Drosophila melanogaster: one gene and its partners. The gene in region 1 interacts genetically with each later gene. Each region holds a gene or a part of one and is shown on either strand. Other genes may lie near its edges.

Region 1 (8,359 bases):
AGTCACTCATAAATTTCGAACGCAGCCCGCTGATTTACCTACCCCTCTAAACGATTCATAGTATATGTACGAGTATATCCACTAAGCTTTTTCGAGCACTGATTTTTTCGCTTGCACGAGACAAGTGCACCACCGCAATTGCAGGCAAATTATGTCTGAGGTAATGATTCCGTTTCGTGCAAGATTACACAGAAATCAAATTACGACAACCTTTATTCAGTAAGCAAACAAAGCCTTTGTTGGCATCTAATTATTCCACTTATGGTTGCGATTTCGGGAGCTACAATCGGTTTTGGTTTAGTATATCTAGCGAGTTCCTTGGCGACATTTAAAATTTACAAATAAAGTTTCTCTATTCAATCGGGACAGTGGAAATTGACTATTTTATTTATATTAATGAACTTATTTTTAATTTGGCTTAAGTTACTAAGGGGTACTAATAGTTTGAGCGCAGTGCATGTCATGGGGACATGTGCAATTGTGTGTAAGCGGGAAGTGATCGCGGCCTTCCGAATTTGGCCATGCCAAATAATCCCAGCTCGAAAGGAGGGGACCCGGCGGTCAGGGCCATGGACATTGAACTTGAAAAAAAAAAAAACACAAAAATATATAACACAAAACGGAAAATGCTGTGTACCGCTTATGTTAGAGAAGTTGAGCAACGGGTTTTTCGTTTTGCAGTCACGATGGATTTCCAAATTAGTGTAGGAGGGGGGAGGGGAGGGAGGGAGATAATGTCCAGGCTGCCATAAGTGGGGAATAAGGAAAATAAAACATGAAACACGGGTCGGGCAATGTCATGCGGTATTCGGCTTTGCTTTCCGCCCAAGTTGAAGTGATCCTGTGTGTAAATAATGTCGAATGTTGCCGGTCGGTTGCATAAGCGTTAGTCAATTATGCCAAAGAGATCTGATTTGTGGAAGCTTTTTTTGACCACTTAGCGCGCTCCGCTTGATGTTGTTTTGTTTTGTGCTGGGGCAGAAAACTTGTTTCAATTATTGGGAAAAGTGCGTATAAATCATTGCCGCAAGCTCTGAAAAGCGAAAAAGAAAAACAGTAACCAAACAGACAAACGCAGCATCCCCCCACACAATTAAGCAAAAACTTGAAAACAAGTCAATTCGAAAAAAATTATAGGTTCAACGGCTGCAGCGATCGCATCATTAGTTGCGTTTTTAGTAAATACACCATTTCATTACACAACACACACAATTAATTAATAAAACTGTACTGGTTATTTCAAGTGTGTCTTTTAATAAGCCTGCCGATCGCAATAAATTCGAGCAGCATTGCCGGTAATTTTGTGCAACATATTTTTCGATTGCCACACCGTGTTTGTTTATTTTTCTGTGGGTGCAATGATTTAGAATGCGGGCAAGGGATCAAGTTGAACCACTTCTAAGAAAAAATAGCATTGCATAAATGATATAGAGTCCAAAAACTACACAAATTCAATAGCAGTAATGGTTACATTAGCTTTGAAATTGTTTTTAGACATCCGAAGAAATAAGATTAAATTTAAACGGCATTCTTTAATTTGTATTTTAATATTTTGAGAGGTTTTCCTTATTTAAAGTGTAGATTATTGAGGATTAATGCAAACCACTTTATCTGCGGAGGTCGTAAAACGTATTTTTACCCATTTGCATGTTTATTATGCGTGTGGCTGGTTGTATTACTTTACTTAAGTTTTGCAATTTTTTCTTTAGCAAGCAGGTGCATTTGGGCCAAGAGATATATGCGATCGCTTTCGGTTCGAATTTTTAACATTTACTTGCGGCGATGGTCATTAGAGCATTACCCACTTAGGGCACCCCCAACATCCAGTTGATTTTCAGGGACCACAATATTTTAAATAACAGCTAGTGGAATTACCTAAAAGCGCTTTCGTCCCTTTTGAAATTTTATGTAACACTCAATTATATTTATGTATATGTATGCTCAAAATCACCTGCCAATAACTAGCGGAAACCAAATATTTGACCCTCAGTGAATTGTGAATCATCGGTGACGCCCAATCGAAATCCAATCCTAAGCAATTGAAACGAGCACGAGTTCCAATTTAATAGTATACAAGGAAACACCTGCTTTAAATACTCTACATAGTACACGTTATAATAACGATTTATTTGATATTTCTGGATTTTTGTCTGCATGTATTTCATATAATATTGATTTGATTTTTTTAATGAATTGAACTAAAAAATCATATTAGAACATTTTTTGCAGTCGCCGATAAAGATGAACACTGTTCTCAGAACACAACTGTCATGTATTAAGCTTTCAGATTTTCAGAAATTTGGAGAGCAATGCATTCTATGCACGAGCCTCCTGGCCTTACAATTTACTTGTTTGAAATTAGATCGTCAAATAAAGTCCCTAAAATTAAATAAATAGTAGTCACAACTTTAAAATAGGTCTTAATCTTTTAGGGTACCGAAAGGTATTTCGGCACAAATCAGCGCAGTTTTAAATGTCGATGAAGGCCAAAAATCATACCAAACCCAGCGAAAGGTGATGTCTGACTCATTAAATTGGGGGATTCGAGTGTATTTATTAAACATGCGTGAAAATCAATCATGGAAGACAAAACGCAAAGTTGGCCGATCTATGGGAACAGCATAAGCCACCTGATTACCCGAACACTGAACCACCCGAATCACTAAAACCACCGAAGTTGGCGCGCGCCTTCGTTTTCATTTTCATTGGCCTGTCTTCGTCTTCGGAGAAAAAAAACTTCATATAAAACGCGGCCGACATATTATGGCCACCAGTCGTTACCGCGCCACGGTCCACAGAAGAGGATTAAAAAAATATCACACAGCCGAAGGCTAGAGAAGAACCCCCTATAGCTGAACATATATAAACAAATATATTTTTTTTTATTGCCAACACACTTTGGCTTAAGTGTTAAGAGTGATTGTCAGCTTAGAGCTAAGTGCACTGTTCCAGGACAAAGGGTGGATCCTTGTGACCCTGATCACCTTGGTGACGCCGTCTTGGGCTGCTTACAAACTTCAGGAGCGATATAGTTGGAGCCAGCTGGACTTTGCTTTCCCGAATACCCGACTAAAGGACCAAGCTCTGGCTAGTGGAGATTATATTCCGCAAAATGCTCTACCTGTTGGAGTCGAACACTTTGGCAATCGGTTATTCGTCACTGTTCCCCGCTGGCGTGATGGTAAGTGGAAGTTAAATATGAAGCCCTTGGGGAGATCGTAAATGGGACATTCTTACTTAGGGCATCAGAGATATCTGATTGAGTGGTTGACAGTTTTATATGGCTTGTTTGACATGATGTAAAAACACAAAATTCATTTAGTTTAGGTATTCAAATAAGAGCTTGTTATTTATTTTAGAATTTGGAGAACATTTTTTTGTCTTTCTACCCTTCTTAGAAAATAATATTGTTTTGTACAATTTAATTTTAAACTAGTACAGACGAAAAATGTATTTTTTTATTTGTATGCCTTTTCACCATTTTGGCAGAGGAATAAATATGACAATATATTTTGAGAGCACCCTCATGTAAAGGTTTTAGCGTGGCGACCTCTCATAAATCCGGTTGGTACCTGCGCGTTATTTTAACATTTTAAACAATTAACCGTTGTAAAATCGAAGCCAATAGCATGGCATTGGCTTTATACTGTATTAAATTGTATTATATTACCATCCGAATTGTAAAGACTTCTTCAGGGCCGCCACATAGAAATGGAAATCCAATCACAAACAATAACTTATGGCATTAGCTATTAACCGACGATTAGCTGTCAGTTCAACAAATGTAAGAGTGGCGAAATGTTTAAATGCGAAGGCATTGTTCTGTGACTCACGTTTTATTATTAATCACACAAATGATTTTGCTTCAAAATTATTTGGCTTACACAATAATCAAAATTTTTATGAAATAGTTGAAACACAAAACTAGGAAATTTTAAAAAGCAATGAAACTAAAAAACCCAATTGCTAAGATTATATGATGCGCATACAAATACTTCAGTACGTCTAGGAATGCTTTCGATGATTGATTAGTTTTTATGCATGGCTTACAATTGGTATTTACACAGAAAAACACGGCGATGTTAATAAATTTTGTACATATGTTCTTAAGCAGTCCGAAACACCCAAACTTCTGACTAAACTTAAAAAAACACGCTCTTCAAGGATATCTTAATGTCACTTATAATGTAATGGTATTGTATTATTAAGTATATCAAAATATTCTGGCCCAGCCTTGAGGTCTCTTTTTAAAAAGATATCGACTGACTACCTCCAGTCAATGAAATAATAGCCCAGAAGGCCGAATCGGCAAAAAATAAACCCCAAGTTACGGCAAACAAAACATAGTGAAAGTTGTGGCAAAGTGGAACATTTAAAGGCATGCTTCAATGGCCATCGAAGCAAATCAATTAGTCAAAGCAAATCGGTAGTGGCAACAACAGGCTACAGAATACCTATAAGTGACAGTTATGGGGTATGATTAATTATAAATATTATCATTGACCACCAATGCTGGGCTCAATTGGAAAAACTATTCTATGAAGATTTGAGTAAATAAATTTTGATTTAAAAAAGCCCATGGTTATCGCGACAACTAGCTACGGGACAAGATTACTGTTTAAAATCAAGTGTGAAATATCAAAATCAAAATCGGATTCCGATCGGGAAGTTGTATCCGATTCTGAAACTAAAACACAGAATTGCCAACATTTTCCGATATCGACTCAGCTCACGTATTTCATACAGATTCATTAGGCCACCAGCCATTGAATAATATACCCCAGTCAATTGAGCTACTCGATAGTTGATCAACTTAGCTTTTGTCAACGAGTGAACGCATAAACTACTACATCAACGATATTTGCGGCCCATTCCAAGCTAAAAGTTCATCTTAATTACAAATAAGATTAGAAAAAATATCTGAATGAAAAAAATGTTGAGACATATTTCTTTGGAAAAGGAGAACCTCAAGACAGTCGAAAAAATTGTTTACAATGAAAATGTTGAAAATCATGAAGCAGATAAATCTGTCAGTTGCGAGGTTTTAGGACTGAAAGAGCACATGTCAAAATATAAATTTGTTCAAATACTTTATATTTGACTGAATTAGATTGTTATTTTAAAAGTTATGAATTAAATAAAGATTGAAAGGTGCATTATGCTCAAATGTATATTTATCGCAACCCCCGGTTACTTTGTAAAGCAAAAACGCCTGGTTTGATTTTTAAGAAGATGGGTCGGTAAATCGATAAAAGCTATATTTTCTGGTCGTTGCAGTCTCACTCGCCTGCTATAAAAACATTAAAAGTTCCCAGAAACAATAAATGTCTTTAAATTCAATTAACGAAGAAATAAAGAAGGAAAAGAACTGGAGCGGAAATCGGTCGAAATACTGCCAATGGCCACATATACATTTAACAGCGATATATGGTATACATATTGATAATGATGTCAGACGCAATTGCTTCAGACGGCTAATGACATCGCAAATTGCACGCAACTTGCAATAGTGCCAATTATGACTGAAGTACATATAGCCGGGGATCTTTTAACATAAACTTCCAGTAGATGTACAAGCAGAAAAAAGAGCCATTAGCACGGCAGTTACCATTGCTTATGATTCCTTGTGTCCAAAATAATGACAAATAGGTATATAAATAATTAAATGCCAAACATAAGCGATTCTAATTTACCTTTACATCTGTATGCATTTACATATTATCCAGAAAACAGACAGCGATAACTTGCAACATTGCTTAGTATAATAATCCAAAGAAGGAATTTAGGCAGAAATTCCAGTTAATTAAATATTCAAAACAAACTTTATTTAGTGCCTCAATAATAGTTTGGCCCTGCTAATTCTCCTATTTTATTTTTTAGGGATTCCGGCCACTCTGACCTATATAAACATGGACCGCAGTTTGACGGGTTCACCGGAGCTAATTCCGTATCCAGATTGGCGCTCAAATACAGCTGGAGATTGCGCCAACAGTATTACCACTGCCTACCGCATTAAAGTGGATGAGTGTGGTCGGCTGTGGGTTTTGGACACTGGAACCGTGGGCATCGGCAATACCACCACTAATCCGTGCCCCTATGCGGTAAATGTCTTTGACTTGACCACGGATACGCGAATTCGGAGATACGAGCTACCTGGCGTGGACACAAATCCAAATACTTTCATAGCTAACATTGCCGTGGATATAGGCAAAAATTGCGATGATGCATATGCCTATTTTGCCGATGAATTGGGATACGGCTTGATTGCTTACTCCTGGGAACTGAACAAGTCCTGGAGATTCTCGGCACATTCGTATTTTTTCCCCGATCCATTGAGGGGCGATTTCAATGTCGCTGGTATTAACTTCCAATGGGGCGAGGAGGGTATATTTGGTATGTCCCTTTCGCCCATTCGATCGGATGGTTATCGTACCCTGTACTTTAGTCCGTTAGCAAGTCATCGACAATTTGCCGTATCCACGAGGATTTTGAGGGATGAAACCAGGACGGAAGATAGCTATCATGACTTTGTTGCCTTAGATGAACGGGGTCCAAACTCCCATACCACTTCACGTGTGATGAGCGATGATGGAATTGAGCTGTTCAATTTAATAGATCAAAATGCAGTGGGTTGCTGGCACTCATCAATGCCGTACTCACCGCAATTTCATGGCATTGTGGATCGCGATGACGTTGGCTTAGTTTTTCCGGCCGATGTGAAAATTGATGAGAACAAAAACGTTTGGGTTCTATCCGATAGGATGCCCGTTTTCTTGCTGTCTGACTTGGATTATTCAGATACTAATTTCCGAATTTACACGGCTCCCTTGGCCACTTTAATTGAGAATACTGTGTGTGATTTGAGGAATAACGCCTATGGGCCGCCAAATACCGTTTCAATACCAAAACAAGCCGTTTTGCCAATGGGTCCACCGTTATATACGAAACAATATCGTCCTGTCTTGCCACAGAAACCTCAGACCAGCTGGGCTTCCTCGCCGCCTCCTCCAAGTCGCACTTATTTGCCCGCCAATTCAGGCAATGTAGTCTCCAGTATTAGTGTCTCTACAAATTCTGTGGGTCCTGCAGGAGTGGAGGTGCCAAAGGCCTATATTTTCAACCAGCACAACGGCATAAATTACGAGACAAGTGGTCCCCATCTATTTCCCACCCATCAACCCGCCCAACCGGGTGGCCAGGATGGTGGGTTAAAAACTTATGTGAATGCCCGCCAATCTGGGTGGTGGCATCATCAGCATCAAGGTTAACATAATCCTACACACGGTACTTGGGTATATTCTCACACACTCGATTGATGTAAAGAATATTTAAAGACAACAACATAGGGCAACAGCGGTTAAAAAAACCACATGACGTATGAGCAAGTGGCAAATCAATACTTTATCTAGTTATGTTAAGCAAAAAATAACAATAAATCAACTTTTTTTTGAAGGTTAAGAGTTTACGCAATTTTCTTGAGCGGAAAAAGCGGAAAAAATGTAAGTATGCATAAATTCTAAATATATCAACAACTGTACATTTTCTGGAGTACTACTACCAGGCAAGAAAGTAGGTTGATAAAGCTATGCACAAGATCTGTCATATGGATGGGTTTCGCATCTTCTGGATCATAGGACTTGAGAACATACACAAACACAACTAAAATCAGAAAAGGTTGCCAGCAATCACTTTAGTTTTCTGCAAGCTAGATCCACCTGCTACTATCCCTACTTTCTTCTGTTGGGGTTGTCAGAGCTCTACCTACAGTTGATTAAACCACACATCAGTCATCGTGTTTTTTTTACAATTTTCCTAATTTCCTTACTTGTATTGCCTACTTTTTTGCGAGGGACTTCTATTGGCCAGTATATATTATGTGTTGCATACTCTTGGTCACAGCAAAAATAAAACAAAAAATACGCATGGTAAAAGAATGCTTCCTTTTTTACGCACAACGGTAGACGAAGCATATAATTTTTACATATCGGAAATGTTCTTGAAACAGAGCTTAGTAAATTTATACGCAATATTAGTTAGTGTATTTTAATTTTCGCCTTTTAGTTTCACCTTGTTGTGTAATCAGGGAAAGTGATAATGTATTTAATAATAATTAATAGTTTTAATGATACAAATCTATTGCGCAGAAATCCGATGGGTATTACAACATTATGATTCCTTCTACATTATAGATACATGCAAATTGTATATCTCGACTATAGCGTTCTCTCTTGTTTATGCTACAAATGTAAATGTACTAAAGAAAATATTTTATAAAGTATAAATTTAATATATTATGACATTTGATATATGTCATTTATAACGTGGAAAGAATATTTATTATACTTTCGAAAGTATCAAA
Region 2 (5,953 bases), 280 kb from region 1:
TGAACAAATTCAGCTCGTCGCCAAGGATCTTCAACCCAACAAGAAGGTGGCGAAGCAGAAGAAGCAGGCAGCCGCCAAACCTATGGTCGTGGAAGATGAAGAGTCCACATAACGTAAAAGAAGGAAACACCCCAATAAGAAACCTTACAATTAGATGTATAAATATCTTGCATAATATAGGATACTATTAATTTTTTTGTTCTTTAAAAAATTCTGACGAAAAGTACTAAATTAGTATTGAAGTCATTGAAAAAATAGCAAAAGTACACTAAACTTTATAAAAATGTATTTTTACCTTTATAGAGCAATTTGAGTGGACGTACAACTGCGCTAACGTTAAAAACCAAAATCACAGACGAGGTGGAAAGTACACGTGCTGGCGAAATGTGCTTTTAACATTCGGCACCATGGACTCGTCATTACTGCCTCGCTTTTTAGACACTTCGTTGGTGACAATCGTCAGGATATCGGCGATGTGTTCACTAAAGTAACAAAGAACAACTTATGCATTAATTCGGGGCTAGCTTGCTTTGGCAGCTTTTTACCTGGCGGAACGGCGATCGATGGCATCGCACAGGCTCCCGATAAACCAGCTACCTGTTTGGGTGTGGCGCAGAGCAGCATATCCATTTACCGTGGACATGGCCCGCAGCATGTCGATGTGCTGGTCCGGCGACACGGTGGTCACGTCTATCCTAAACTGAAAGAGGAATACGAAAATGTATAGGCTTTCCCATTCGACGACTTCATGCTTATAAATCTCCTTACGAGCTCATTTGGCTTCTTTTTATGGACAAGCTTCTCCTGGCAGGCTTGTATGATTAGCAACTTCGGTTTGTAGTACAGGGTGTCGTAGCTGCAGAGCAAGTCCTCGATATCCGTGATCTTCATGGCGATGCTGTTGGATGCGTAGACGGCCTCCTCGAAGCCGTGGCTCAGGATGAAGACCACTAGGGAATCGCGCACGAGCGATCTATCGCACGCACTGCGAATGCGCTCTATGATGCCCATGTGATCCACGTTGTCGTACGCCTCCACATTGTATCCCATCGAGGAAAACACCTCGATTAGTCGTTCTTTATCCACATCCGTGCCATCCCGTCTACGCAGTGGGTCGGGCGACAGAAATTTCTGTGGAGAAGGGCAATGTTGTACTTCTTTTTGTTACTCAATATTGCAGAGATGAAACCATATTATCCCTGCTAACATTCCGGTGAAACTTCTGCTGGTTGATAATCAAGGCGATTCCTGCGTTCTCCCGGGTCAACTTAAGAGCATCTATTTGTGTGGAACAGTACGACTGCTGGTTATCCGATTCAATCTCTTGCTTGACTGCCATCGCAGCAGTGCCAGCCGCATCTGGCTCCGGAGCGTTACTAATGATGGTGTCTTTGAGCAAATTTGCTTGCGCCTGCAGACCGTTGGACTTCAAATGGCCGACCAGCAGCTGAACATCGCTGCCTGCGGCATTTATGTCCCCTAACTTTATGCTCCTTCTGGTCAGCCAGTCCAGCAAAAAGATCTCCAGGTACGCGGGATCGTAGAAGCGAAGTGGATCTCCTGCCTGCTGGCTCTCCACCTTTTCGCGAACATCTAGGAGCAAGCGGCCACTCTGCACCAACGACAACTCCTCACACATCCTGTAGAGGCTCTTCAACAGAGGATGGACATGCAGCGTGATCCCAGCGATATGCGGCAAGTAGTGCATTCGCAGCTCCTGCCAGCAGAAACCCAGTCTCCGGAGCACCTTGCGGGCCCCAATAATGCACAGGGCCTCCACGAGATGTCTTCTCCAGGTTTCTGGCCGGGACTTGGCGAACTTTATGAGTAGATCACTTTGCGGGAAGTCTGATCGTGTCATGGCCAAAAGTTTCTGCAGAATGTAGGTGGCATCCGAGTGGTCGTCGCCATAAAGCAGAAAGCAGAGGCCCACCTAGAAGAAAACGAAGGTTCTACTGTTTAATTAACACTTTGGTCTAGCGGATGTGTAAAACATTTGAGTCATATTCGAAAAGTCCTCCCAGGGAGGTGCCATACCTTTTGGGCAAAGTTCATGTCACGTTCCACGTAGATCAGATCGTTCTGATCGATGGTGTCTAGATGAATCAACAGGTTTGATCCGGCCATGGCGATCGGGAATATACAAAAATGTTTCACTTTAGGAAATGGCCGATAAATTGCACTCGCTGACATCCGATAGCCGTGGCCTGAAGAGCTTCCACCGATCGATATCGATAAATGGATATGTTTTCTGCAATAGCGAAAGATCGGGGTGCTACCTATTAATTATACTTAAGAAACAGATGATGTAGTTTTTTGATATAGAAGTTTAACAACCGGTTCAACAATCGGTTAATATTTAAAAATGTCGCAGCCAGCGAGCCTTTAGCTTTAAAAGTAAGCTTGCGTTCACGGTTTTTGGGGAAATACCAAATATACTAGGTAAAAACATCGATTAACTAATATCATCCAACACGACGATATGTTCTTTGCGAAAAATATCGATGTACTGGTATTTTTATGTTTCCACACCTCTAGTTCGTTTAAGTCGATCTGTTGAACTGTTAACAACACAACTCCTGAATATTATGTTTTGGACGAAAAGTTTTATTAATTTAATGTTTTTGTATATTGTATTCTGTCCATGAGCGTAACAGAGACAGACAGAGAGAAAGGGACAGATACTGAGATACGGGGCCCTCAGGCAGAGAAAGAGGGCGAAAGCAAGCTACAAGCGGGTGCGAGCGAGAGCGCGCGCTTGCCTCACGCACATATATATAAATCTGTACATACATATAGTATCAGAAGAAAAAACTAAAGCCGCTATTCGATTTACGAAAACTGGCGAAAAATTCGACGATTTGTCTCGTACCTATCTATGTACCTCACAACCACTTCGTCATCAAATACGTATAAGTCAGATGTATGTCAAACATATATATACATATGCATGTATATACACATCTATGTGAGGCCACTGCTATATCCCATACATGTATGCCTCTATATATATGTATATATTTATCCACCTACTGTACCACTTCCACATTATGTAAGCAGCGACGCAAACAAAACACTAAAGCAGAAAATCCGAAAAGCAAAATGCGAAATGCAAAACAACGAACCAACAAAATCCCATCTATAAACCGAAAACCGAACAGCAATGTTATAACAAATACCGAAAAGTTGTTAATGTTCCACAAAAAAGCATAAAGCAGTCACGCTAAGAGAGTAAGATCGAACAAATGAAATGTTTGTATGGCATAAGTAGTTCCCAGATTTTTGTATGTACTTCAATGCATATGCATGTGTGCGTATGCATGTATGTATGTATGTTTCTCGGGGCCATGTCTCCCCACGCCCACGTACGTGGGTGCTAGAAAGGGACAGATGGTGCAAATTTTTTAAATTGCATACACTTGATTTTGGAACGCCAGCCAAACAAAAAGATAAATTGCGTGCTTTTCTTTTGCTGTTCGTATGTACGTACATATGCAAGTGGAAACTGCGCAGCAGGGAAGCCACACGCATGAACGCCTTCCATTTACAGAGCATTCAAACAAATCGTACCGAAAACCAAACAAAAACTTTCACCTCAAGTGTAACAATTATATTCAAATTCGCTTTGAAGTCGCTGTAAAATATATGTATGTATGTATAAACAAAGACAAAAACATTTTGCCTCGCAGTCGACACACACACGCGCACTCGCACTGCACGCCTCGGCTGTGTGTGTGTATGCCCTGCTTAGATCATGAGTGTGCGAGCGAGTCGACATGCTTGGCAATCGCGAGTCAGAACTAAACACGCGCTCTATATGCACGTGTGTGAGACGCATTGGATTTTGTTATTTTCATCAATCGCAATGATTCCGTCCATCAGCTACATCCAAATATATACACGCATCCGCGCCATATGTACAATGCTACGAGCATTTACATACACATGTACATATGCGCGTGTGGCTCATAACGGTTCACTCCGCTTACGCACAATAATAAAGGCAAACGCCTACGACTTCCCCATTGTTCCTAGGCTCAATGGAAAGCCACTCCGTTGCTTTCGACTTTCGCTTTTCGGATTCTGGAATTTGTTTCGCTGTCCAAAACTACGTATAACTGAATCTTTATGTTAAGCCAATTGTAAAAAGTGTATTTTCCTTTCTCGTTCTCTCCACACAACAAATGTGCTAGCGCAACTTTGTTGATCACTTTTATTTTATACTGGAAGCATGTCCAGGACCCATACCCTTTAATTCATCAAACTGATTTGCTTATTATTTTGTTGCTGCACTTTGGAACTAGCTAAGTGCCAGGCTAAACCTAAGCGATCCGATCCCACTTAAACCAACCAACAAAGAGCAATCCAACCATTGTCAGCGAAAAGTGCTCAAACTTTCCGAGTGCTGAGATAAGGAAGGGTGCCCAAAACATTCATCGCAGCCATGCTGCCCACGCTACAAAGTGACTCTGACTGAATGCATCAGGATCGTATGATCCGGGTGGTCTATCTTAAGTCAATAGTTTCTGTCGCTAGTACTTGGACGTGCCTTCTGAATCCGTAGTCATTTGTGATACCAGCCATTTTATATTGTATTTACCTCAAAAACATTAATGTAGCATTTATTCAAGCAACGCTTGATTTTAGTGTTAACCAATTCCTTTCATTTGTGTTCAAAATTTTGACCGCCAATGGGGTGATTCAAATAATCCCCGAATGATTTTGGAAAAAAAGAATAAGGGGCATTAAACTACATTTATTAATTCGTTTTTATTCACTTAGAAGCGTATTATGGTACATTCCACCTTTTTAGTTAATACTAGCAGTTGCTTTATTTTAAGATACCATTTTATATTGTAATTGGACGTTAAGACAAATTATAAGACGTCCTTATATATGATTAGATTGGGAATTTGACCTTAAAACATATTTATGCATCCATATATGGTATTCAAAATCCGATCCCTTATCAACAGCTTTTCCAAATACCAAACACTTAAGAGTGCAGCAACAGAAGAGGGAGGCCACTTTTTTTAAGGGCACCAATTATTCCAATCTCATCCTGTGAGAGATTAGCTGCCAAATCGATAATGTCTGTCGCTTTAGCGGATGAACCCTTAATTGACTTGGAGGAGGATTTAGAGGACGGCGAGATCGACGACGATGAGGAGGACGAGCAGCAATCTTCAAAAATCCAAGTCCAAAAGAAGACTTTCGTAGGGGACGACGATGTGCAGTTTGTGGGTGTCGAGGCTAAGAACCAAAATGACGACGAAGATGTCGTTTACGTGGGACCATCGACAGATGCCGTTTGCCTCCAAAACAGCAACAGCACCAAGTCAAAAAAGCCTCGCCCATTAGAAGGTGAAAGCTCATTCAGTTGTTTCATTGATTCTTCTTGTTTAATCTGGATGTATTCCCTAGATGACCATGCTAGCAGCATTGAGTTGGCGATTGCCAATGCCCTCAAGAAGAAGGGCATAGAGCCCCCAATGCCCCGCATGCGTTCGTCTAACCAGGATACGAGCGATCAGTCTTTGGAGGGATCCGGGGAGGGACTGGCTACCGCCAATCCCCTTCTTCAGTCAACTCGCAGCAGCAGGCGAAGGAAACGCAAGAAAGAACGTGAGCGCGAGCAGAAGAAAGACAAGGAGCAGCAGGTGAGGCCATCACATTATGTCCAAATGCAACTATTAGATACCCATTAGCTGACAAATGCAGTATACCCTTCTGCTCCAGGAGCAAGATTTATATAGTTGTAGCTAGCCTTCGATTGGCACTTATGAAATGATTTTTACCATATTTACCTTTTTAAATAGAACATTGATCTTGGGTGTTACATGGAAGCGGTTAACCCAGCCAGCGTGACCAAGTTCCACGACCAATTGTTTTGTGTTCCGACCCAACTCCGCGCTTCTCCTGCACTTAATTTATCATTAGCCATCGGGATTAG
Region 3 (9,125 bases), on another chromosome or scaffold:
AACGAAGCAGAATCTCCTGGCCGTTCTGTATTCGCAGGGCTTGCACTCCAGGGTGCACCTGCACTCCTTCTTGTAGGCGAGGTATTCGTCCTCGGTCTCCCCAGACTCCCCAGATAGCTCCACCATCTGTTCCTGCTCCTGGGGCAGATACTGTATGTATTCATTAGCCTCCAGCTGGCTTTGCACGACCTCGATGTTCGCCTGGCTTTTTGCTTGCATCTCGAATTGAGATTTTCGAGTGGTGCTGTAGTCACACGGCGTGCACGTGGTCAGGATGTCTTCCGTGTATCGTGTTTTCTCCGCATCCGCGGGCGCTGGCTCCTCTACTCTTTTTATGCGTTTTACCGCCGGTTCCGCCCTCTCGGCCTCGTCCATCAGCTTCTCGCACTCCTCCTGCTCCTTCATTATGTGGCGCCTCGACTCCTTGTGCCGGTCGAAGCAATACCGTTTGGCGGTCTTGTAGCCGCAGACGTTGCACGAGAACAGTGACGATTCCACCTCAGACTCGGAGTCAGAGCAGGACTCCAGCAGCATGTGCTTTTGCGACCGCCTGTGGCGCCTCAAGTCTCTTCTCCGGTCCGTGGAGTAAGTGCAGCCGTTTATGTTGCAAGTCAGTCGCTTTATCTTCACCGCCTTGACTTGCTCCTCCTTTCTGGGCGCTTGTTTTAGGTGCAAGTCTGTAAAAAGCGAAATCAATCGTAGTTCAGCCGGCATTTAGGTATTCATTGGTACTCACATTCCATTTCGTCCTCGTAGATGAAATCTAGAGCCTCTATCGTCAGTGTTTCCGTTCTCTGGCATGTCTGCGACATATTTCCCTCGTTTGGTCTGCGTTCTTTTAATAATAACTAAACAAATCAACAATTATTTGATGGTACCAACATTATTTAGCTTGAAAATGTAGAATGCACGCGAGAATTTACGAATTTGGGAATTTAGTATTTTTCAGGCGGCATGTTGGATCTTATTTCCGTGCACCTTAGGAATTATGTTTATTTCATTTTAAAAGTACCCATCAGTGTTTTCGTATGAGTGAAAAGTTAGTAATTTTTAATTTTAATTTTAAATTAGTAACAAGACGACTTGTTAAATTCGGGACAAGAGTCACCCTGTGATGAACCACTTGTTACATGCAGATGCAGCCGGTGACCTCCTCTGGTCACACTGTCCATTTTTAATTTTTTGTAATAGTAGAGTTTTTTTTATAACATTTTATCCGTCTTTTATGCAATATATTTAATTATTATTAGTAAGAGGCAATCCCACACAAACATGCAATCAGTACTCACCCGCTCGTTATGCATTGGTAAGACAAACTGATGTGTGGACTTTGAGCCCCAGCCATTTAAATGTTTTCTATAAGCAAGATCCTAAACCAGATATTGATATTCAGCCCGCAGATCTTTAAATGCTCGTCAAATTGCCTCATTGTCGGCGCTTTCGGAGACGCACCAGATGCTGCAGAAGTCCTGCCGGGACTTTGCCAACAATGAGCTCAGTGGAAACGCAGCCAAGTTCGATCGGGAGCACCTGTATCCAGAGAAACAGATCCGCCAGATGGGCGAACTGGGCGTGATGGCAGTAGCGATTCCCGAGGAGCTGGGTAATTAATATTACGCCCACCTCAGCCCTCCTTATAGTATCTCATTGTATCTCTTTATTGTTAATCAGGCGGCACTGGACTGGATTATGTGGCCTACGCCATTGCCATGGAGGAAATCTCAAGGGGCTGTGCCTCTGCTGGCGTCATCATGTCGGTGAACAACTCCCTGTATCTGGGACCGCTTCTCTCTTTCGGAAACGATGCCCAGAAGAAGGACTACATCACACCGTTTACCACCGGCGAACGAGTGGGCTGCTTCGCGCTCTCTGAACCTGGAAACGGATCCGATGCTGGAGCTGCTTCCACCATAGCAACCGACAAGGGAGATCACTTCGTGCTGAATGGCACCAAGGCCTGGATCACAAATGCCTTCGAGGCGGAGGCAGCCATTGTGTTCGCCACCACCAACAAGCAGCTGAAGCACAAGGGCATCTCCGCATTCATTGTGCCCAAGGCTACCAAGGGCTTCTCGCTGGGCAAAAAGGAGGATAAGCTGGGCATCCGGGGATCTTCGACGTGCCAGCTAATTTTCGAGGACTGCGTGGTGCCCAAGGAGAACATGCTGGGCGAGCCGGGTTTCGGTTTCAAGATTGCCATGCAGACGCTGGACGCCGGCCGCATAGGAATCGCTGGCCAGGCGCTGGGCATTGGTCAGGCTGCCCTCGAATTGGCCGTGGACTACGCCCAGAAGCGACAGGCCTTCGGCAAGCCCATTGCCAAGCTCCAGTCCATCCAGCAAAAGATCGCGGACATGTCGTTGGCCATGGAGTCGGCACGTCTGCTCACCTGGCGCGCCGCCTGGCTGAAGGACCAAAAGCAGCCCTACACCAAAGAAGCTGCAATGGCCAAGCTGGCTGCCTCGGAGGCGGCCACCTTGTGCTCCCACCAGTGTATCCAGATCCTGGGCGGAATGGGCTACGTGACCGACATGGCGGCCGAGCGTCATTACAGGGACGCCCGCATCACTGAGATCTACGAGGGCACCTCCGAAATCCAGCGACTGGTGATCGCGGGCTCCATTCTAAAGGAATATGCTAGTTAAGATCAAAGTTATATATCCGTACTACTTGTGTCTCGTTTAATAAAGAACGTTTTTAATATACTATTTTGCTAGTTCTATTGAGTTGTATAATTGTTTATAATAGATAGAAATACATGAAAAAAACACCTACAACATTTTAATTCTTTAGAAAAAGTTAGCAAAACAATAAATCTTCGTTCAAAAAGTAAAGTAAAATAAGTGAAACTCTTGACTACTTTTTAGACGTTGCATATTTGTAAATTAATTAAAATAATGAACCTTAAGTGCTTTTAAAATATATTTATAAACAAAGCTTATTATTTTATATGCCTAATTATATTATATCTTTTAAACCAAATTTTAAATGACTCAAAAAAATGGGAACTTGGCGCCAAAACTGCAGCAAGGCTTTGTCGGTTAGCATATTTGTGTGGTATTTTTGTGACTTCATTCGGTATATTGCTGGTAGCTGTGCAGCGGTCACACAGCAAAAGCAAAAAGTTTCTTTATTTATTTGATAATTATTCGTTACGCGGTAATTAACGCGATGCAAGTGCAGCAGGAACGTGGTAATGAGAGTTTTTGCCACTGAGCTGCGCGTGTCGGCCGTCCAGAAAGTGCAGAAATCGCGTGAAGTGCGCGAAATCCGTCCAAGAGCAGAAAAGTGCCAAGAATAGCTGCGATGGAAACAGCGATGGATGTGGTGTGTGTAATGGATACGGCGGTGGGCGACCATCTGGAGGACCGCCAGTGTGCGCTGGAGGAGATCAAGCAGGCAGTGCAGTCGGCGGGCGCCAACTTTCAGCGGGTTCAGGTGCGCCAGCTTGGTTATACAATGGCATATGGGTGATTTGACTTACATCCCCCCCACTTGGCATCCTTGCAGTTCGAGCGCCTGGACTTCGGCGAGACGAATGTGCTGGAGACGTTTTACAACGCCGATGTGGCCATTATCGACCTGAGCATTCTCACCCAGCAGCGGCCGCTTTCCTATCACTACGGCGTTAGGGAGAGCTTCGGGATGAAGGAGAACATCCTCACCTACAACGACATCGATTCCAAGCAGACGCTCAGTCTCAAGGTGCGTTCGGAAGTGTTTACCTGGCCGGGCGTGCCTGGCAAACATCTGCGTTCGTGATCGGGAATCCGCTTCCGATAAGATAAATGCTATGACCAGCAACTGCGTGGACTCCTGGACTAGTTGTTCTTGCTGATCTTTCTACAGTCGAGCTTCCACAACGCGAACTGAGTTTATAACAAGTCTCTAACCTAGGTGCTTAGACACCTCTTTCTGGAAAATGACTAAAAATTATTCTATCTACTAGTCTTCCTTTAGCAAATTGCAAAAGAAACCGAAAAACTTCCTCTTTCCAGAGGTTAATAACTAAAACCTCTTTCCCATATGGCAGCCAATAATTTGAACTATGGAAGTTCGACTGTATTTCCGTCGAATCGTTTTCGTTATTTTTGTTTTGGCTGCGGCCATAAAGCAACAAAAGCATTGGCCCAGCAATAACAATAACAAATGCGAGCACGCCCACGCAAACACTCAAAGAGGCACGCACACACTAACAGCACGGTGTACACCAACGCAGCGTGGCCTGCATTCACAGTGGCGGTCATTAAATTAGGTACACTCTACTCCCCTTGCAGCTCTCGTGTGCCAACTACCTGTTTCTCAGCTACAAGCGGAATGCGGAGACCAATTCCTGCCACCTGACCAGCCAGCCCAACAGCGGCAACAACAGCAAGGAACCCAATGCCGAAGGACGAGTGCCCACTTTGCAGTGGCGCCTCAAGCGAAAGCTGCAAGATGTTGAGATCCAGTCGAAGTGAGTACAATCTAGGGAGTCCCCTTTTGCAGTAAGTCATGCACGGTGATTGCATATCGGAACACTATTTATAACATCCCCTGCGGCAGATTGGCTGCAAAAGTCACGCCCTGCATCTAAAATGAATCAGACCGATTTATTGTGTTGGCCTTGGAATTGCATATAAAATATCAATAATCGCTGAAAATTCTTAAGTCTCTTTATAGTATCATAATTGTCCTTTCAATTTAAATTACTTCGAACTTTAGTGATACTACTACGGGTTAACAAGTAATGAAATGAAAGTAATTGAAATCTTAAATTTGGTGTACCAGATAGATGCTAAGTTAATTAGTCTTTCAGCCAGAGCACGAAACACTGTTCCTATTATGCATTATTTGTGTACCTAAAAACTAAACGAAGCTATTTTCGGTTATTTACAGAGCCCACATGCGTGAGAAATTTCTGAGTGACATGCGAACGGCGCGGGACACGTACGCCACCAACGGCGCCAAGCTGCAGAGTATATTGCACGAGATGCGAAAGCGGCTGGACGATCCGCATGTCCTGTCTGGCGAAGTGGTACACAGTTTCATGTGCTCGCTGAGGGATGTGCAGGACTACGATGCCATGGTGCGACTGGTCAATGACCTGAAGAACATACCCAACACCCGGAAGTACGTGGAGACGGGCAACATGAGTTTCCTGTACGCCTTCGCCCTGAACCGAAGAAATCGAAAGGGAGACCGTGAAAAGGCTCTGGAATCTTCGCTGAAGGCGCTGGAAAAGAAGGAGAACCACTTTCCGGACATGCTCTGCCTGTGCGGCCGCATCTACAAGGACATCTTTGTGGAATCCGACTACACGGACGCCACCAGTTTGGCGCACGCCATCAAGTGGTACCGCCAAAGCTTTGAGGTGCAGCCGAATGAGTATGCAGGCATCAATCTGGCTACTCTGCTGGTTATCGAGGGCAAGGAGTTTACCAATACGGAGGAGTTGCAGCACATCGGCATGACCTTAAACAATTTAATCGGTAAAAAGGGCAGCCTATCCTCGCTGAGTGAGTATTGGGATGTGGCCACCTTCTTTGAGATCTCCGTTTTGGCCAACGACTACGCCAAGGCGATTCAAGCTGCCGAGTGCATGTTCAAGCTAAAGCCACCCAACTGGTATCTGAAGTCGACCATCGGAAATATCTCTCTTATACATCGATTTCGAAAGAAGCCCGAGGAACGCCAGCCGCCCATCGAGGAGCAGGTGTTCCAGTTCTGGATGGACTTCTTTCTGGAGGCCACCAACACCGAGGAGGTTAAGAACAGCATTCGCTTTCCGATTCTGGTTGGTACCCCTGATCTGCAGTTTAAGCTTTATTATTAACTCAAAACAAATTCCAGATCCTCGAGCCTCAGAAGATTTATATGCCCAGTTATGTGACTATAAACATGGATGCGGATGAGAAGTCCATTCAGATTGTGAACATCTGTTTGGCTCACGCAAAGAATGCGTGTAAGAAAATCCACGACTTCCTTTTCGTGGCATCGAAGATCAAGTCCGTCAGCCTTTACAAGAGGGATGATCGTTGTGCCTACTTGTACGTCCATCACAACTCAGATGATTTTCAAATATATTTTCCCTCCACTGAACGACGACAAAAGTTCTACGATATGATCCTGGAGATGACTGCAGATCAGGTGGTGTTTGTCAATCTCAGCAATGATGACGCTAATATCGAGGTAAGTTATTTATTATTCATATATACATATATTCCGGCCACTTTTGCTAATTATTATTAATTGTAGTACGAGTACGACTACGATGAGCAGAATCGCAAAATGGTGCTGGGCAAAGGTACTTATGGCACCGTGTACGCCGCCAGGGACAAGCAGACGCAGGTGCGAATCGCCATTAAGGAGGTGCCGGAAAAGAACTCGCAGGATGTGCAGCCACTGCACGAGGAGATTAAGTTACACTCTCAGCTGCGACATCGCAACATAGTTCGCTATTTGGGATCGTGCTCGGAGAACGGCTTCTTCAAGATCTTCATGGAGCAGGTGCCGGGAGGATCGCTTTCCGACCTCTTAGAGACCAAATGGGGTCCGCTCAAGGACAACGAGTCCACCATGGCCTTCTACTCCAAGCAGATCCTCGAGGGGCTGAAGTACCTTCACGAGCAGGACATTGTTCATCGCGATATAAAGGGTGACAACGTGCTGGTTAACACGTATAGCGGCGTGGTTAAGATCTCCGATTTCGGCACCTCCAAGCGGCTGGCCCGCATCAACCCGATGACGGAGACCTTTACGGGCACCTTGCAGTACATGGCGCCGGAGGTGATTGACCAGGGAGTACGCGGCTATGGCCCGGCGGCTGACATCTGGTCCTTTGGATGCACAAACGTTGAGATGGCTACGGGCAAACCACCGTTTATCGAGCTGGGTAGCGCCCATGCGGCCATGTTCAAGGTGGGCTTTTACAAGAAGCATCCGAACATACCCGAGGAGCTGTCCGCCAACGCAAAGAACTTTATTTTGCGTTGCTTTGCCATCAGCGTGATGGACCGACCCTCCGCCTCGCAACTTCTGGAAGATCCCTTCCTACAAGAGTGAGTTTGCTTAATTGTTTTGCCTAATTCCTTTCTAATTGCACTTTTAATTTTCTCAATAAGTAAACCCCGCAAGGTGCGCCCAGCCCTGCCCATCAATACTGAGTTCGGACGCAGCATTTCGGTGCCGGCTGATCGGTTTGTGCACAAAACCACACCGCCGCTGAGCTACAACACAACCTGCAATACGCCCACAACGCCGGAATTGGAGTAAGTTAAACGCTGCGACTATTCTTATCATGTTCGACCTTCCTCAATTACAAGCAGAGGTTATCTTATCTGTTGAAAATTATCATTTATATTTTGCTAATTTTAATGAATATAAAAATTTTTCCGTGCTTCTCTATATTTTCCCATATCGTCTACTATTATAAGAGTAACAAGTGCCTTTGCTTATCGTGTAGTTAACACATTGATTGTTGCTATCAGTAAAGTGCATATTTAATGATTGGAAAATGCGCACTCGGATTTTGATACTGAGAAGAGATAGCACTTGATGTATTGTAAAATAAACGTAATTTTATATTGTACTTTCTGTTTCCTATTTCAGCATAACGCATTCATCCTCGGTGGACATTGACGAGCTGCCCAGCAACCAGTTTATGCTTGAACGGCGAAATTCCCATGGATTTTTGCTCTCGCCAGAGATTGAACCTTCCACGCCGTCCTTGCGTACGAGCATTAGTGAGACGAGCGAGACTGACGGTTTTTACAGGCTTAAAAAGGATTCGCAGAGGCGGACAACGCTTTCCAAGGTGCTGGCACTAGACGAATCCAAGATCTGCGATATTTGGCTGAAGAAGGTCGACGCTGATCAGAACTCGATTGCGATTAGGAAAAGCGATTTGGAGGTTCTAATCCGAGGACTGCGGGACTACATTATGAACGAAAACGAAAAGCATTTGGAAGCGACTATCAACGAACTGAAACAAAAGCTGAACAACGACGCAGTTGCTCTGGACCATCTTCATTTGGCGCTGTACTCCTTTCAGGACGCCGTGGTCTGCGTACTGCGGTACCATTGCATCAAACCCCATTGGATGTTCGCATTGGATAATCTGGTTAAGCGGGCCGTCCAGGCGGCGGTCACTATTTTCTCTCCTGAACTGGGCGCCAATCTGGCGGACAAAGACCTGTCTGGAAATGATGATGAGAGCTTGCGTACAAGTCTAATGCAGAAGGGTTCCACCGAGAGCCAGGAAAAGCAGAGCCTGGAAAAAGTTCTTCCCACGAGCAACACTCGCGAAGGTGTGGGATTAACGCCTGCGGAATCGGGCGGGGATGCTCTGTCCAGTTCGATGGAGTGCGCGCGCATCCTGAGAGACATCCGTGACAATCAGCAGAAGCTGCAACGCCAGCTCCTTGAGCAGCAGCGGCAGAGCATGAGGGCCCTGCATAATATCAGTCAGGAGCTGGCTCACATTTACATGGGCGGCAGAAAGAGATTAAGGTTGGTAAACCAAGTAGGACATTGTAAATTTTATTATAATTCACAATTTCATCTTAACAGACGCACAATAAACGGCTTTAACAAAAAGTGCCATAGAATGAGTACCAGTGTGGGCGGAACGTCCGGAGTCCGTCCGAATATAGCGGGCAATCCCCGGAGGCAGCTAAACAAGCATCACTTTGGTCTTCACGAAGTAGACGAGCAGTTGGAGCAGTGGTTGACCCAGCAGGAAATAGACGAGTTCTCAAAGACGCTCATCCTGAATGAAGGTTTTACATTTGACGACTTTATCTATAACATGGAAAAGCTGGACCTCATGAGGCTGGGTCTGCGGTGCGTTAAAGCTTATAAGAAAAGTACACTTAATCCATGCTCAACTAACTTTTGGTATTTTGCAGCGTTGGCATCGAAGTGCGTTTGTGGAAACTCATTATACAAGAACGTGTGTGCACCTCGTCCGATTGTGTGGACAGTCCACCAAGCACTTACCACAAACCCATTGGAGGCAATAGCTCTTTTGCGCTTATTGACAACAACAATACGCTACCATCACCCACAACCACAACTCCCGGAACGCCGGGCATCAAAACGAAAATCAAGAAAAGCGAAAGCGAGTACGATTCGTGCAGCGAGTG
Region 4 (9,020 bases), on another chromosome or scaffold:
CAAGTGGTGACAGTCCCAGGCGAAATGCTGTTTTACTTGTCGCTAAACATGTACGAGTGTGTATGCGACCATTAAATATTAACTAGAAACCGAACAACAATGAACATTGCGATAGCGCGAAGGAGACAGCCGATGAGTGATAACAGTGTGTCACTGAGCTCGAGCTAAATTTAGTGAATCTGCTGTACTTAATTGATGGAGCGGGAATCCACAAGAATTATAAACAATATAGTATAAGTAAAGTGTTGTGCAATTACTCAGTTTTGGCTGCACTTAGTTTTTAGAAACATTGCCTTTGGGTTGGTTGTTTCCAGCAATCAATACATTAGGTAGGTACACTTTCAAAACAATGTATGCAAAATGAAATCATTAAAATTTTTAAAATCATTTAAAATATATTAATATAATATAATAATATATATATATATAATATAAATATATACTAATTGGGGGTTAGTACCGATTGTTACATTGCTAGCTTAATCTTGGAATTGCATAGTGTTCAGCATCAGCCCCAAAATATGTGCTCTTGTTAGGTGTACCTCGACCTGGCCTTGGCCGGATTTCCCAATTCCTATCCCTACACCCCAAAACGCAGAGCCAGACCCAAACTTGCCCCCAGTGAACCCCGCGATTGTAGAGGAGCCACTGCCTGATAAGGCATTATCCGCCGCGTTCCCAGTTCGCCAATGGCTAATCGGGTCGCTTGGGGTCTGTGCGGTGCAGCGTTGTGTGAGTTCGACGCGTATTTGGCAGATACTGTGAGATGATGCCACCGCGATCTCAAAGTGCAGCACACACAAATTTCACACGTGGTGGCCGTGCAAAGTGCCTGGGTCAATATTTAATCATATTCAACAAATTCCAACTAATTACACATTATGCACTTTTAAGTACGCCTGATTGCAGTGCTTAAGTCCCAGCACATACATACTCGTAGTTCGGTTCAAGTGTTAATGAACTCGCCATTGTTGTCGTTAATTGTCTACATGGATTTGATAATCCCAAGATAATCACAATAATAGTGCCCCCCATTAGGGTGTTTGATAATAAGCGATTATTTCACAGCCCCACCTGCACCTTTAAACACCTGTTTAAATCGCCCCATTAGCTCGGGGTCTTCACTTTCATTACCAGGTAATAATCCAATCCGAGTGGCGGTTACTGTTTCTGGTCACGGTTTCTATTTTTTCCAGCTTGCAGTACGGGGAATCCGACTTAACGAAGATCGCACACAAGTGGCATCGCAGAAGCTTGGAATGAAACTGAGCTGGGGATCGCTTAGAACAGAAGATTTTATGAACACAAGTCTCAATGGAAAAAGTCGAGAAAAAGCGCAGCACTTATGACTATAAACCAGTATGCGAGAACGAGAAACCAGCATCTGAAAATAGGGAGAGCCAGCTCGATGAAACGACGATGCAAACACCCTTAAAAACGCAATTAAGTAAAATTTGTTGATTAACAATACATATACATACAATTTATTCAAAAAAAAAAAAAAGAAACTAATTGCTAATTGTAGTACTTATGTTTATCTTTTTATCTTACCAAATCTTAGGAGTTTTAGCTCACATCTTGTTCAACTTGCTAATAGTATCCTGGAATAAACTGCACTTAACTCCGCTAGTTCACAATTTTCCCATGCATCAGCTGAAATTCCCAATTTGGCAGGGTACAAACTGCACTCCGCATATTGAGAGATCTTTGCTGATGCTTGTCAAACGAGAATCAACAGATTTGGAGGAGTAGAGAATATTTCTGGACGATATTCGATGCTGTGCAAGTTCAATGAGCTCCGGTGACGTCACTGCGTGAAGGGTTCTCCATTACCCAAGCAGAAATTCCGAGTAACTCGGATGAATCCAGAATCTTTATATTTTGTTTGCACTATTCAAAACATGTTTCTGAGCCGGAATGAAAATCGCAACGGGATGGGGAGGGACATGCCCCTTTATGACGTCGTGTTGGGCAAGGTCAGGCAAAATGGCAGAAAGAAAACCAGTTCTCTTGTAGCCATGGTCTTGGCTTTGGAATATTCATATTACCAGGTGGTTAATTGAAAAGCAATCTTCACTTCAACGGTGCGAAATTTAATTGCACAAATGCAACTTTAGCAGCAATTTTTCATTTCATTTCATTTTAAGTAATTGCTGTATATCACATTGATGTGGGATACAATACTAAGCATATGAAAGGATAAATTTCTTAATGGTTTTACTTTGTCTTAAATTTTTGATAATTTGCATTTAGATCGAAATATTTTATCTTTTTTACATTTATTTCAATGCCGATTTATAATGTAAAAAATAGAAGAAATGTTAGTTGGAATAATTAAAACCCCTACTTTCGACTCGAAAAAGAATTTAACCCCAAAAATGTTATTATTATTTATTACCTTCGAATTTTTTAGAATTAACTGTTGCTTAACTCATCACGTGATTGAGATAGAACTAAAAAACCGTGATTTTGGCGATCACGCTTTTAGCGGAGTCACCGACCGCAGTTACTAGTTTAGCCCTGTTCACAATGAGCGTATGCACCAACCCAAACAACACTGTTATGGGACTTATCGATAGCGATTTCATTCAAACATCGATTTGTGCGCCTTGCCAGCTCTAAAACCAGCAATACTTCTCATTTGTTGTCGGTTGTGAAAAGTTGTTAAATGTGCTGTGCGTATTTTAATAGTTAGTTGAGAACTGTACAAGTTTTAGCTAAAGGCAGCAGACGCGTGGGGCACGTACAAGTCGAAAATTGTAGTGCACCGCCTCGTGTATCGCCTGCAACATAGAGTTTTGCCGCACTTCGGTTGTCGGCGGCAGCAAGAAAAGGCCACAAATACTTGGCAATTTTTTAACCAGGTAAGCAGAAAGTGCTGAATCATAATCGTAGAATTGGCTGTACCGTAGAACCTAAGAGCCCTGTCTAATTAATCCTTTAATATGATGGATATAGCAATTTTTCGGTGGCGTCGCTTGCAAATTAAAAATGGCGATACCGGTATAGACATTTAGCTAATTTTGGGCCTTTAAAAACCATAGTTTTTTGATTTTGTAGCGCGGAGCGCGTATGTAGGCCTGAATTTGTTTACTATAAAGTGAAACCCCTCGAAGAACCTTAATAAGAAATAATAAATAGCGGTGACTACCGGCAAACGCCAATAAACACGCACACTCACGCAACAGACGGCGCACGCCAAGCGTTGCCGCCAAAGAGACAGGGCTGTTATGTATTTCAAAGTGTGCTGAAAATCTGTTCCCAGTACAGTAGCACCAGGCAAAATAATACTTAGTTTGACGTTTTTCAATTTATCTGCAGTTATTTCTGTTTGACGTACCCAACCATTTCCCATGTTGGCCAAGTCCCATTCCATTGCAGCGTTTGTCTGGACGGCATTTACGCAATGCGCGGGCGCGCGTTTTGTTTTTTTTTTTCACCGTGGGTACAGTGCGCATTCATTAATAAAAAATTGTTGAACAGCAGCATCAGCAGCATTGGCATCACATGCCAACGCACAACCATCCCCGTTATTAAGAGGCCATTAAACATATTGGGTGCCATCTATCTTATTTGGTATTATAACAATTAAAAAAAAAACGTGAACATAATATTACTAATATACTAATAGCAACTGTTAACTGGGTGGGTACTGTAGTCTTCTGCTAGTAGCTTTGGTTTTTTTTTTACTTAGTAGAACGCAGGACGAGTGATTAATAGTAGCTAAGGCAATGGCTCGGAATATTAGTTATTAATATTAATATTACATTAACAAATGCCTTTTGCTTACTCTTTGAAGATTCAGCTAAAGCACAGCGACAGAAGCATCATGGAGAACGGAAACAAGGCCCTGTCCATCGAACAGATGTACCAGAAGAAGTCGCAGCTGGAGCACATCCTGCTGCGACCCGACTCGTACATCGGATCCGTGGAGTTCACCAAGGAGCTGATGTGGGTGTATGACAACTCCCAAAACCGCATGGTGCAGAAGGAGATCTCTTTCGTGCCCGGCCTCTACAAGATATTCGACGAGATTCTTGTGAATGCGGCAGATAACAAGCAGCGAGACAAGAGCATGAACACCATTAAGATCGACATCGATCCGGAGCGCAATATGGTGTCCGTGTGGAACAACGGCCAGGGCATTCCGGTGACCATGCACAAGGAGCAGAAGATGTACGTTCCAACGATGATCTTTGGTCATCTGCTGACCTCGTCGAACTACAACGACGATGAGAAGAAGGTCACTGGCGGCAGGAACGGATACGGAGCGAAGCTCTGCAACATATTCTCCACCAGCTTCACCGTTGAGACTGCCACGAGGGAATACAAGAAAAGTTTCAAGCAGACTTGGGGAAACAACATGGGAAAAGCCTCCGATGTGCAGGTAAGGAAATAACATTTCTTATTTTAGACCATCATCTAATGTTCAGTAAACCCACAGATCAAGGACTTCAATGGCACTGACTACACACGCATCACATTCAGTCCCGATCTGGCCAAGTTCAAGATGGACCGTCTCGATGAAGATATTGTGGCTCTAATGTCGCGTCGCGCCTACGATGTGGCCGCCTCATCCAAGGGAGTATCCGTCTTCTTAAACGGCAACAAACTGGGTGTACGCAACTTCAAGGACTATATTGATTTGCACATCAAGAACACGGACGACGATTCTGGCCCACCGATCAAGATAGTCCACGAGGTTGCCAACGAGCGTTGGGAGGTGGCTTGCTGTCCTTCAGATCGAGGCTTCCAACAGGTCTCGTTTGTCAACTCGATAGCTACCTACAAGGGCGGTCGGCATGTGGACCATGTGGTAGACAATCTCATTAAGCAGCTGCTCGAGGTTCTGAAGAAAAAGAACAAAGGTACGTTTAACTTAAAATGTGTATTTTCTTAAACAACAACTAATATTTGCTTTGAACCTCTTCCAGGTGGCATCAACATCAAGCCATTCCAGGTCCGAAACCATCTGTGGGTTTTTGTCAACTGCTTGATAGAGAACCCCACTTTCGACTCGCAGACCAAGGAGAACATGACTCTGCAACAAAAGGGCTTCGGTTCCAAGTGTACCCTCTCGGAAAAGTTCATCAACAACATGTCCAAGTCTGGCATCGTGGAGTCTGTGCTGGCATGGGCCAAGTTCAAGGCCCAAAATGACATTGCCAAGACGGGCGGTCGCAAGTCAAGCAAGATCAAGGGCATTCCCAAGCTGGAGGACGCTAACGAGGCGGGTGGAAAGAACTCGATTAAATGCACCCTCATCCTCACCGAGGGAGACTCAGCCAAGTCATTGGCCGTATCCGGTTTGGGCGTGATCGGACGAGATCTCTACGGCGTGTTCCCGCTTAGGGGTAAACTTCTAAATGTGCGGGAAGCTAATTTCAAGCAGCTTTCGGAGAATGCCGAAATCAACAATTTATGCAAGATAATTGGCTTGCAATACAAAAAGAAGTACCTCACTGAGGACGATCTAAAAACTCTGCGCTATGGCAAAGTGATGATCATGACAGATCAGGATCAGGATGGCTCCCACATCAAGGGTCTCTTGATCAACTTTATCCACACCAATTGGCCAGAGCTTCTGCGTCTGCCCTTCCTCGAGGAGTTCATTACACCAATTGTGAAGGCAACCAAGAAAAACGAGGAGCTGTCATTCTACTCGCTACCCGAATTCGAGGAGTGGAAAAATGATACAGCTAATCACCATACGTACAATATAAAGTACTATAAGGGTTTGGGTACTTCGACCTCCAAGGAGGCGAAAGAGTATTTTCAAGACATGGATCGCCATCGCATCTTATTTAAGTACGATGGATCGGTGGATGATGAGAGCATTGTTATGGCCTTCTCCAAGAAGCACATCGAGTCGCGAAAGGTATGGCTTACCAACCACATGGACGAGGTGAAGCGTCGCAAGGAGCTCGGTTTGCCAGAGCGATATCTCTACACCAAGGGCACCAAGAGCATCACCTATGCAGACTTTATCAATCTGGAGTTGGTGCTGTTCTCGAATGCTGACAATGAGCGCTCCATTCCTAGTCTGGTGGATGGCTTGAAGCCGGGTCAGCGGAAGGTGATGTTCACTTGCTTCAAGAGGAATGACAAGCGTGAGGTGAAGGTGGCCCAGCTATCCGGATCAGTGGCGGAGATGTCAGCCTATCACCACGGAGAGGTATCCCTACAGATGACAATCGTGAATCTGGCTCAGAATTTTGTGGGTGCCAACAACATTAATCTGCTTGAGCCACGCGGTCAATTTGGTACCCGCTTGTCGGGAGGCAAAGATTGCGCCAGCGCTCGTTACATTTTCACTATAATGTCTCCCTTGACGCGACTCATCTACCATCCTTTGGACGATCCACTTTTGGATTACCAGGTGGACGATGGCCAAAAGATCGAGCCACTATGGTATCTGCCCATCATACCGATGGTATTGGTAAACGGAGCCGAGGGCATAGGAACTGGATGGTCCACGAAGATATCCAACTACAATCCTCGTGAGATTATGAAAAATCTAAGGAAGATGATAAACGGACAAGAGCCAAGTGTGATGCATCCGTGGTACAAGAACTTTTTAGGACGCATGGAGTATGTTTCGGATGGTCGTTATATTCAGACTGGTAACATTCAAATTTTGTCCGGAAACCGTTTAGAAATCAGTGAACTCCCTGTGGGCGTATGGACGCAAAACTACAAGGAAAATGTCCTGGAGCCTTTATCAAACGGCACCGAAAAGGTTAAGGGTATTATTTCCGAGTACAGGGAGTATCATACAGACACCACCGTTCGCTTTGTGATCAGTTTCGCACCTGGAGAATTTGAGCGCATTCATGCAGAAGAAGGTGGTTTCTACCGAGTGTTCAAACTTACCACGACGCTGTCCACCAACCAGATGCATGCGTTCGACCAGAACAACTGTCTGCGACGCTTCCCCACCGCGATCGATATCCTTAAAGAGTATTACAAACTGCGACGAGAGTACTACGCCCGCCGGAGGGACTTTTTGGTCGGCCAGCTCACGGCGCAGGCTGATCGCCTCAGTGATCAGGCGCGCTTTATTCTCGAAAAGTGTGAGAAGAAGCTGGTGGTGGAGAACAAGCAGCGCAAGGCCATGTGTGATGAGTTGTTGAAGCGTGGATATCGTCCCGATCCCGTCAAGGAGTGGCAGCGCCGCATTAAAATGGAGGATGCCGAGCAAGCTGACGAAGAGGACGAAGAAGAAGAGGAGGCAGCTCCCAGTGTCAGCTCAAAGGCTAAGAAGGAAAAGGAAGTCGATCCGGAAAAGGCCTTTAAGAAACTAACTGATGTCAAAAAGTTTGACTACCTTCTGGGTATGTCCATGTGGATGTTGACAGAGGAGAAGAAAAACGAGCTACTCAAACAGCGCGACACTAAACTGTCCGAGTTGGAAAGTCTGCGCAAGAAGACGCCGGAGATGCTTTGGCTGGATGATTTGGATGCCCTCGAATCGAAGTTAAATGAAGTAGAGGAGAAGGAGCGCGCAGAAGAGCAGGGGATCAATCTCAAGACCGCGAAGGCTTTGAAGGGCCAGAAGTCGGCCTCAGCTAAGGGCAGAAAGGTTAAGTCAATGGGAGGCGGAGCGGGTGCCGGAGACGTATTCCCAGATCCCGATGGAGAACCCGTCGAGTTTAAGATCACCGAAGAAATCATTAAGAAAATGGCAGCGGCTGCCAAGGTAGCTCAGGCGGCTAAGGAGCCGAAGAAACCCAAAGAGCCCAAGGAGCCAAAAGTGAAGAAGGAACCGAAGGGCAAGCAGATTAAAGCCGAACCTGATGCCAGCGGCGATGAGGTGGACGAATTTGATGCAATGGTCGAGGGCGGCTCTAAGACCTCACCCAAGGCCAAGAAGGCGGTTGTCAAGAAGGAGCCGGGAGAAAAAAAGCCGCGCCAAAAGAAGGAGAACGGCGGCGGGCTCAAGCAGAGCAAGATTGACTTCAGCAAGGCCAAGGTAAGTGTTTCAGTAATTGCCCATATTTGTTTTTAAACCCAAATCTGTATTTAATTGTCAATTAATATTTTTCATCTTTAGGCGAAAAAGAGCGACGATGACGTGGAGGAAGTAACTCCTCGTGCAGAGCGTCCTGGACGTCGACAGGCCAGTAAGAAGATAGACTACAGCTCGCTCTTCTCGGATGAGGAGGAAGACGGTGGCAACGTTGGCTCTGATGATGATGGCAATGCCAGCGATGATGATTCGCCCAAGCGTCCAGCTAAGCGTGGACGAGAGGATGAGAGCAGTGGAGGAGCCAAAAAGAAAGCTCCGCCCAAGAAGAGGCGAGCTGTAATTGAAAGCGATGATGATGATATCGAGATTGATGAAGATGATGATGATGATTCTGATTTTAATTGTTAAGGAACACATTTCCACACAGGATATTGATAGAAGATGGACTCTTAGAATCAGCATTATCCGCATCGAGAATCTCGAGGAGGCACTTTTTTTTGCGGACTTGCTCGCCACGATCGTTCGTTATTTTATAATCTTTCAATGTTCTCCTCGATGTTAACGTCAATGTTTTATAATTCGTGTTTTTATTAACTATAGATAAACACTTCGCTACATTCGTTCACTGTAGCTGATTCTGTTCCAGAGCAGCAAGAAAGCCACCAAGAGGAATTTACAAACGTAATATCGATGTATTAACATGTTCCATAAAGATAGTTTGTAGTCTCATACGAGTTTTCTTCATGTAAATAAATCACTTTTGCCGAATGGCTAATACATTAAATTTCGATTGGTTTTTTGGGTAAAAAAAAAACACCACTACGGGTTAGGAATAATACGTTTTTATTCGCGAAAGCTACACAAATCGGAAAGTGGGAAATAAAGGTAATCTCTTCTCTAATTCTCTTTACGACTCCGCACCCTCCAGGAAAGTCTTAAAGGAATTCTTAATGTTGTCGTTGGCAAACGTTGGTTGCTTGAGAGCCTCGCGAAGAGCAAATCGACAGTTCTTGACATCGTAGTCCGAATGGAATACCTCCTTGCAGGGCAA

What was found.
Region 2: of y (region 1) and su(sable), changing one suppresses a phenotype caused by changing the other (phenotypic suppression), as found in Drosophila melanogaster (one study listed by BioGRID).
Region 3: of y (region 1) and Ask1, changing one suppresses a phenotype caused by changing the other (phenotypic suppression), as found in Drosophila melanogaster (one study listed by BioGRID).
Region 4: of y (region 1) and Top2, changing one suppresses a phenotype caused by changing the other (phenotypic suppression), as found in Drosophila melanogaster (one study listed by BioGRID).

Annotation. Positions count from the first base shown.
Region 1 is NC_004354.4:353,737-362,095, forward strand, and holds y (yellow), read left to right. Parts: upstream 1-2,772; 5' UTR 2,773-2,943; coding exon 2,944-3,181; intron 3,182-5,880; coding exon 5,881-7,268; 3' UTR 7,269-7,509; downstream 7,510-8,359. UniProt on the Drosophila melanogaster protein: Controls the pigmentation pattern of the adult cuticle and larval mouth parts.
Region 2 is NC_004354.4:633,357-639,309, forward strand, and holds the start of su(sable) (suppressor of sable), read left to right. Parts: upstream 1-2,533; 5' UTR 2,534-2,923; intron 2,924-3,085; exon of another isoform or gene 3,086-3,231; intron 3,232-4,976; 5' UTR 4,977-5,090; coding exon 5,091-5,364; intron 5,365-5,424; coding exon 5,425-5,660; intron 5,661-5,953. Other genes in the region: Mybbp1A (MYB binding protein 1a), read left to right, coding at 1-112; Dredd (death related ced-3/Nedd2-like caspase), read right to left, coding at 350-482, 546-700, 769-1,131, 1,190-1,933, 2,038-2,127. UniProt on the Drosophila melanogaster protein: RNA-binding protein that suppresses transcription of some RNAs. Together with Wdr82, part of a transcription termination checkpoint that promotes transcription termination of RNAs and their subsequent degradation by the nuclear exosome.
Region 3 is NT_033777.3:19,876,606-19,885,730, forward strand, and holds the start of Ask1 (apoptotic signal-regulating kinase 1), read left to right. Parts: upstream 1-3,113; 5' UTR 3,114-3,318; coding exon 3,319-3,438; intron 3,439-3,510; coding exon 3,511-3,705; exon of another isoform or gene 3,706-4,277; coding exon 4,278-4,456; intron 4,457-4,878; coding exon 4,879-5,776; intron 5,777-5,832; coding exon 5,833-6,171; intron 6,172-6,237; coding exon 6,238-7,040; intron 7,041-7,103; coding exon 7,104-7,250; intron 7,251-7,590; coding exon 7,591-8,490; intron 8,491-8,550; coding exon 8,551-8,823; intron 8,824-8,888; coding exon 8,889-9,125. Other genes in the region: CG17186 (uncharacterized protein), read right to left, coding at 1-677, 737-812; Arc42 (Activator-recruited cofactor subunit 42), read left to right, coding at 1,273-1,306, 1,394-1,603, 1,672-2,645.
Region 4 is NT_033779.5:19,447,095-19,456,114, reverse strand, and holds Top2 (topoisomerase 2), read left to right. Parts: upstream 1-2,624; 5' UTR 2,625-2,864; intron 2,865-3,321; 5' UTR 3,322-3,576; intron 3,577-3,799; 5' UTR 3,800-3,829; coding exon 3,830-4,387; intron 4,388-4,444; coding exon 4,445-4,868; intron 4,869-4,934; coding exon 4,935-7,972; intron 7,973-8,053; coding exon 8,054-8,377; 3' UTR 8,378-8,750; downstream 8,751-9,020. Other genes in the region: RanGAP (Ran GTPase activating protein), read right to left, coding at 8,877-9,020. UniProt on the Drosophila melanogaster protein: Control of topological states of DNA by transient breakage and subsequent rejoining of DNA strands. Topoisomerase II makes double-strand breaks. Essential during mitosis and meiosis for proper segregation of daughter chromosomes.